2 linked regions of the Schizosaccharomyces pombe genome follow. The main gene of each other region encodes a partner of the protein of the gene in region 2 in a complex. Each region holds a gene or a part of one and is shown on either strand. Other genes may lie near its edges. A codon is read from its position in the direction of its gene.

Evidence for each region. The genes of interacting proteins can lie anywhere in the genome.
Region 1: the proteins of med7 (region 2) and med31 are in contact, whole or in part, in a crystal structure (PDB 5N9J), measured with the Schizosaccharomyces pombe proteins. Residues at the interface, in NP_596734.1 of Schizosaccharomyces pombe: Phe13 (codon at 1,282), Pro14 (codon at 1,279), Pro15 (codon at 1,276), Pro16 (codon at 1,273), Pro17 (codon at 1,270), Tyr19 (codon at 1,264), Tyr20 (codon at 1,261), Leu22 (codon at 1,255), Phe23 (codon at 1,252), Thr24 (codon at 1,249), Arg25 (codon at 1,246), Ile28 (codon at 1,237), Ile56 (codon at 1,153), Leu59 (codon at 1,144), Ala60 (codon at 1,141), Leu62 (codon at 1,135), Phe63 (codon at 1,132), Lys64 (codon at 1,129), Lys65 (codon at 1,126), Pro66 (codon at 1,123), Ser67 (codon at 1,120), Cys68 (codon at 1,117), Leu69 (codon at 1,114), Thr73 (codon at 1,102), Tyr74 (codon at 1,099), Met76 (codon at 1,093); in NP_587859.1 of Schizosaccharomyces pombe: Lys9 (codon at 2,085), Asp13 (codon at 2,097), Lys14 (codon at 2,100), Arg16 (codon at 2,106), Phe17 (codon at 2,109), Glu18 (codon at 2,112), Ile19 (codon at 2,115), Glu20 (codon at 2,118), Glu22 (codon at 2,124), Phe23 (codon at 2,127), Met26 (codon at 2,136), Trp31 (codon at 2,151), Tyr32 (codon at 2,154), Phe35 (codon at 2,163), Tyr41 (codon at 2,181), Asp44 (codon at 2,190), Glu45 (codon at 2,193), Ala46 (codon at 2,196), Phe47 (codon at 2,199), Gln49 (codon at 2,205), Tyr50 (codon at 2,208), Tyr53 (codon at 2,217), Tyr56 (codon at 2,226), Trp57 (codon at 2,229), Tyr62 (codon at 2,244), Phe65 (codon at 2,253), Ile67 (codon at 2,259).

The regions. Positions count from the first base shown.
Region 1 is NC_003421.2:525,359-528,750, reverse strand, and holds med31 (mediator complex subunit Med31), read left to right. Parts: upstream 1-2,002; 5' UTR 2,003-2,060; coding exon 2,061-2,480; 3' UTR 2,481-2,892; downstream 2,893-3,392. Other genes in the region: protein psg2, read right to left, coding at 104-561, 659-1,000, 1,086-1,149; SPOM_SPCP31B10.02 (uncharacterized protein), read right to left, coding at 2,959-3,390. UniProt on the Schizosaccharomyces pombe protein: Component of the Mediator complex, a coactivator involved in the regulated transcription of nearly all RNA polymerase II-dependent genes.
Region 2 is NC_003423.3:4,170,205-4,173,959, reverse strand, and holds the start of med7 (mediator complex subunit Med7), read right to left. Parts: upstream 1,601-3,755; 5' UTR 1,319-1,600; coding exon 1,073-1,318; exon of another isoform or gene 1,007-1,072; coding exon 122-1,006; 3' UTR 1-121. Other genes in the region: ubiquitin ligase Doa10, read right to left, coding at 2,475-3,755.

The DNA.
Region 1 (3,392 bases), on a different chromosome or scaffold from region 2:
TGATTAAAAACAGAGTGAAATTAAATGACGATTAATCTAGCTTTCTTCACGAAAAACAAAAACTTCTTGCTACTAACAATGAAGAACTTCTCTATGCACAGATTTAATGGAATTTTTTTACTTGTGATTGGTAATAATCCTCATCATCCGAGTCCTCAAAGTGTGCATCGGCTGGAAGACTAGTATAGGCAACAGGACGGCTTTGCATACGTTGGCGCCTGCTGCGTCGCACACCATATCCAGGAGCGGATCTACGGATTCTGATCTTTGCCATATAAATTTTCCAAGTGTCCTTCCTATAAGCGTAGTATACGAGAGCAACGAGAATAAGCCCCAAAATTACAGACGGGACGGCGATGGCTGCCTTGATATTTCTCCTTGGACCATAGAAAGCTGCATTCTCAGCGGCAGCGGTGGCACTATCTAAATCCTTGGCAAGTAAGATTCTTGGTCCGGTAAGCAGCGTCATATTGTTTTCACTAATAGTAACCAAATCGATGGTGACATTCTGGAAACTATCATCATGAAGCCAACCTTTGTTAGCCTTTAACATTATTTCTCCTGAAAAATAGTTAGCAACAATTAAGTGAACGCTTTTAGAAGCAGAAAATCTATCCGCAAGAAGTAATGCTGAATTCCCGCTCCTCTACAAACGAACCTTTTGAATTTTGAACCTTCTTGGTAGCGGCAATCAACCCGCTATCGTTTAAATAGGAAACTACCATAAGAAGATTATCAACTCCAAAGTACAGAGGATCCCATGACACTTTATACTTGCGACCTTTTACCCAACGATCCCCTTGGTTAGGTGCACACATGGGTATATCCGACTGGATATATTTAGAAGGAACACAGTTGTAATAAGCATTAGTCGGTAAACCTTTTGTCGTGGTGATTGTTTTACTAACAGTGCTTTCAGCCGTAGCCAGGTGAGTTCCACTGACTACAGTATACACTTTCGTAGTCCTCAAGTTAGGATTACCGGAAGACGAGGAAAAATCTATAGGTTAGTGTTATGCTTAGTGAATGAAAAAAAAAAAGAAAATCTGGTTAGCAAACAAAGCAAAAAACTCATTAGAACATACAATCTCCTAAAACTACTTGAAAGAAAAGTGAAAACAGAAACACTGATCCACAAATAACTTTCATTGTAATTTAAATGTATGAATGAAAAACTTTAGTAGGGTTCAGACAGTGATAACAACCCGAATATAGAAAAATGACAAAAGCGGTAATATACGAGGATAAAGACCAATTATGCAGCCAAACAGTATTCCTTTCTTGAAAAATTATTGTTTAAGCTTATATAACATTAATACCAACCGGAATTGCTGATTTCACGAGATACTCATAAATTCCGCTGTGTATTGGCAGCGGAAAGGTTTGAAAATTGAACGACTTTATACCTCAAGAGCCGAATATGAATAACAGTTTATTAAGGCCTATATATTGAAAATTAATATTAACTTAATAACATTTTAAATAACCAATGCATCTCTACTATGCCATAAAAATATATTCTTAATCTTATCCGTTTTTTGTCAATTTGATTGAAACTACAGATCTAGAGGGTCAGTTTACTGTTGAAAAAAAGGTTTCAGTGTATTTAATTATAGCTTTCCTTTTGTCAACAAGTCTTATTAAAATTGAAAGTTCTACGCTCATCATCAATACGAAGAAAGCAATACTTATTGTGGATAAAAATGGTATCCACAAAAAATTGAGTTAGACAGCTTTAATGAGCAATTAGAAATTTGAAGTTGACTTTAAGATTTCAACTAAGTTGTTTTGACATTGTTCCAGATTGATTATTAACACTTGTAAAATTAAACAGCTTAAATGGGAGAAACCATTTAGAACCAATTTTTCAACTAGAGAATTTTAATTTAATTAAGAAATAAATTGCCCGTTAGAATTGAATTTGTTTACTCTTTCAATTTTCTACTCACCATTTAGGGAGCCCACTATTCTTTACATATCCCGTAGCGTTACTAGTGGTAGCACCAAAACCAAATTTTACCAAATATACAGATATATGGTCAAGTAATTGTTTCGATTCAATGGAAACAAAATGGTTACTTTCAAAGGTTCCCGATGATAAGAGTCGGTTTGAAATTGAGTTAGAATTTGTACAAATGCTTTCAAATCCATGGTACCTAAACTTCCTTGCCCAGCACAAATACTTTGAAGATGAGGCATTTTTACAGTACCTTGAATATATGGAATATTGGAGGGAACCAGAATATGTGAAATTCATAATTTATCCAACTTGCCTGCACATGTTGACTTTATTAAAAAATCCGCAATTTCGCAACGACATTTCTAGAGCGGATTTGTCAAAGCAGGTTAATGATGAAATTTATTATGAATGGTTAGGAAAAGGTTTGCAGCAATATGGTAGTGCCGACGATGCTACTTTGTCTCAGCCGCAGCAAGAGGAAGATGAAAAGAAAGTTGACGTGAAAAAGGAAAATGAATGAAAAGAGGATGTATGTAGATATTGAGATAGTTATGGTAATATCCACTTACTTTTTTCTCACATTTTTAAATTTCAATATCCAAAATCAAGCAAGATCTCTTATACAAGCATGTACTTGAGAAACTCCTGGACCTATGAAACTTCAATAAGTACAAAATCTTTACGGATCACTTCTGATTGTGTTTCCTGTGCTTTTCAGTTTGCCAAAATGGATTGAATCGGTATGAGATAAATTCTGTTGAAAAGTTTGACTGCAAATTAAAACACATTTACACAATACAGAGTTTTTTAGACTTTTATTTTTGTAAATCATATTTAATGCCATTTTATGCAGTTTCAGAAGTGTTCTGTAAGCATTTAGACTAATAAATAAAGAAGCATTAAGTCTAATTTTTTTGATAATATATCCAAGAAAATCATGTTATTCATACCTATCATATCCTTATCATGAGAGTTATATATTTTTGTTTTTGCATTAATTAGTTGTTTTTAGATTGCTTATCCTTCATTAATCGTTTTTCCAGTAAAACAAAGGCTTTCAACTGAGGAGGTAGCTCTTCCAATGAGCTAGTTTCCTTTAATGAAACCTTTGCTAAATCAGGAGGCACGGGTAAATGTTTATCTAAATAATGCCTTTTTGCTTTTCTTCGTGCACGATTGTATTCCTCAAGGTCATCAGCATACACATCCCAAACACATATAGCGCAACCACTTTGGCAACAATTCAAAGGCTCCTCGGGTTTTGGAGGTACTCTTATGCCATCGTAAATACGACTCACATTCCCTATAGAATAAGAACGCAACGACGCTGGTCCCTCCTCCACTGCTAGAAAAGATACATTGGGCTCTATTTCAAAATGAAATTTTGGTTTTGGTTGTTTCAATAATTCTTTAAACAACGTTAGATGCATAA
Region 2 (3,755 bases):
TTTGATTTGTTTAAAATAGAAAGAATACATTTTTTTCATCGTTAGTATGAATTTTTGTTTGTAAAACAAATATTAAAAGCAGAGGAAATAGCAAAATAACTCTACTAGATAAACCGGTTTATTAGCTAAGATCTCGTTTTATCACGTCTTCCATTAATTCAAGCGATTTTTTTAATTTCTCGTCATTTTTTGAGAACATAGACCTAGACTTTTGCTCATCTTCAGCGCCTGACAATGGCTTTTTTATTGACGACTTTAATTGTTGAATCACATCTCCTTCCTTCTCCATATTAAAATCTAATGATTTGTACTTTTCCAAAGTTTCGGTCATTTGCCGGTTATGAGTACGTAATAGCTCAACCTGCGACTCTTCATGTTTTAATTGTTTTTCTAAAAGCATAATTAAAGATTCACGAGATTGGTGTGGACGATAGTCATTAATTAAATGATGGAGATTGAGCAGCAACACCCTAATGTTTTCAACCTTAGAAGGAAACTGTTCGGGTGCCTTCGCCATAATCCCTAGGAGTTCAAGAAAGTTAAGCATAAGTGAGCGGGATAAAAATCGTAGTTCATAAGCTCGCCGGGGAATTTTTATCAAATCACTCGTTTCTCCATCCTTTGATTTTTGATCTGCCCGGAAACCTTCGTTTACCGAAGAAGCTGAAACAGCTCCAGTATCTTGAGAATCTAAAGGTTCCTTCATTTGTATATCCTCCTCTTCCTTTTTAAGAGAGGGCTCAGTCTTTTCCTCGACATCTTTCATTGTCTTATCAGATTCATTATCTTTTTCTTTCATGGCCGTATGTTGATCATCCTCCAGAATTTTTTCATTTTCAATTGGTGAATTTTTATCATAATCGTGTACACGAGTAAAACTAGTACCAACTATCGCATTGGATTTAGGATCATATTCTACCACTTCAATTTCATCTTCTCCATCTTTTATATCTTTATATAATTCAGGGATTCCAAATTCTTTGAGTGAAGGTATAGCTTCGTCTAGCTATAAGCGATATAAGTTAGTGAGAGATGAAAAGCAGCTAATGTAAAACAATAAAAATAAACTTACCCTCCATGTGTCACCAAACATTTGATAAGTCCCAGATGTGAGACATGACGGCTTCTTAAACAGCTTGGCCAGCGACTCTATTTCTTCTTCAGTCTTAGGTTGTAAAGTATTCGCGTCATCCTCATGTTTTGCTTCTTTCTCCATATTTGAAATTACTTTTTCTATGTTTTCTCTTGTAAATAACTTATAATATGGAGGTGGAGGCGGAAAAGCCGAAAACAGTTGTACTCCTTCGTTTGGTTCCATTCTCTTTTAGTTAAATAGTATTTATCGTAAACTAGATTTTAGATTGATGTAACTGTCTTCCCTTTTATCGCTGATTCTTAGTATAAAAATGCCTGCTCTTTTTTTTTCTTTTTTTTTTTAGAAAAGCAGTTTCTATAATGTTAAGAAAACCGTAATTGAACAACGATATGACGCTCAATAACTGATTGACATGAAAATCCTGAATATAAAAACACTTGAAAATAACCGATCTTTTGCTCAAAATGGATTTTGGAATAGTCAGTAAAAGTGGGTAGTTTTATCTGGCATATGGAATACGAAGTGAAAGCTTCTATCACCAATAAATTTTGCTATAAATTGTTTATTTCGATATCTTTAATCATTCTTGGTTTTAAATTAGTTTCACTGATTAAAGTAGCTTAAAATTATACACTTCTTGGCTTTTTTAATTTTTAGAGAATTGCAGTGTTTCTTTTAACAACACTGAATTATTCTTTTTAATAAATGGGCTTGGAAACGAATTAAGTAGGAGTTTATTACTTGTAATATTACAGCTTATCGCTATTGTTGAATGCCATAAAATCCTTAACATGAATATTTTACTAGGCCAACATAATCGTAAAATTTAAATTGATTAAGTGATAAAGTATTTTGATATTCCTCTATACGAAGGATTAGTTAGTATTGAATGGATTACAAAATCAACACATGCAATACTACGAACTTTTACATTTTCATAAATTTGTCACATAACCGTAGTAAACATATTTGTTATAACTGTTTCTTTTTAGTAATTAACTAATTTATCCATTGCTAGTGATTGTCTGCAAATTTTCGCTGCTACGGTTTGATACAGTCATCAGATACATCAAAGAAATTCAACGATAATTGATATTTGTTCAATTTTGTAAAGAAAATTAAATAAATAGCACCATATCATGATAATACCAGTTACGATAAATTGGATAAGATGCCTGGCAATATAACAATAACAAACCAATTGTTCAAACGATGACTTTTTGTAATTTCCTGCAACTAAACTAACAGTTTCGTAGCAATTAAAACAAAAACATCATTCAAATAATATACATTCACAATGCTCTATATTACTTCAGATGTCCTCGCTCCAGTTTTCCAAAGAGAAGGATAATCTGAAAAATAGTAGATGACTAGACTTTTATTTTTCGGCAGACTCAGAAATGGCTGGAGGAGCAGATTCGCCAAAGTTGTGCAGTCTCGTACCAACTAAGTATAAATCATCACGTATTCCTTGCGACCATTTACTACTAGTTTCTACAAAACGGCGCCCCAAGAGTGCTAGCCCAAGTAATGCTAAAAATATAGGATGCATCAACCGATACATAAGGGTTTTAGATGCAGAAGGGAAAATGGATGAAAGAAAAGGATAGGTTACGTAAGTAAAAACACTTGGCAACACAACGGCGGCTATTAAGGCTGATGTAAAAGGGATGAGAACATTTTTTAATAATGGAAGAATTTGAGGATTCGTCCATCTATCACGAAAAGCATCTTGAAACAACCTTGAAACGAAACGCTCTTCATTAGAAGTCACAGTAAAATATATCATACGAAGCATAAAAAGACCAATCACCCAGTTTTGGAATGCATCGAGAGCAAGAGTCCCTCTGTTAAATATCGTTCGGAAAGGTATAGCGACGTATAATTCCCATATAGCTCCAAGTAAGAGTGGTAAGATAAATATTCCAAGGAATGCTAATAAAAGATATTTTAACGCCATTACTAAGCTCCTCATAACAATTTTTAAATTTAGTTTATTCATAAGGCTTCGTAAATAGTCAAGTTTCAGAAACTTAACAGACGCGTGAATTGCATACATTGGAAAAGAAATAGAGTAAAATCCAATGGCGTAAGCATAAAAATCGTGCTTTACCACATTAGGAAAGCACCAAGCATAAATAGCTCTTCCTAATGAAAGTGGAACAAACACTAACAATACTGTCACAAGTGTTGAGCATATCCAACAAAATAACAACAAAGCGATCAAACGCTTATAAAAATTAGAAGGTGCATAAGTAATGGTATAGTCCGCATTTTCTTCGACCTTCTTTTTTTCACCAAAAATTTCATAACCATTTTCTGTCACAGGTATAAGCATGGCTCCTTGGCGAACTGGCACAACATCCTTAGAAGGACACCACAAAAAGAAACCGTCTTGGACAAAGTCTTTCTTTGCTTTCTGCTTATCACCATCATCTTGGTTTTCGGTATCCGAAGGTTTGCTTATAATCCTTCTAAGAAAAGAAAAATATTGCTTGGGATAATAACCCTCTTCATCACTATACCTTTGACCCATAACATATGATGATAGACGTAAACATCTGCAGAATGTTGACACCAAAGTTCGCCAAAAACTTCTAGTGAGTTCGAGAGGTTTAAATAATTTAATACTTAAAAATATGAGAATTTCTAACGCTAA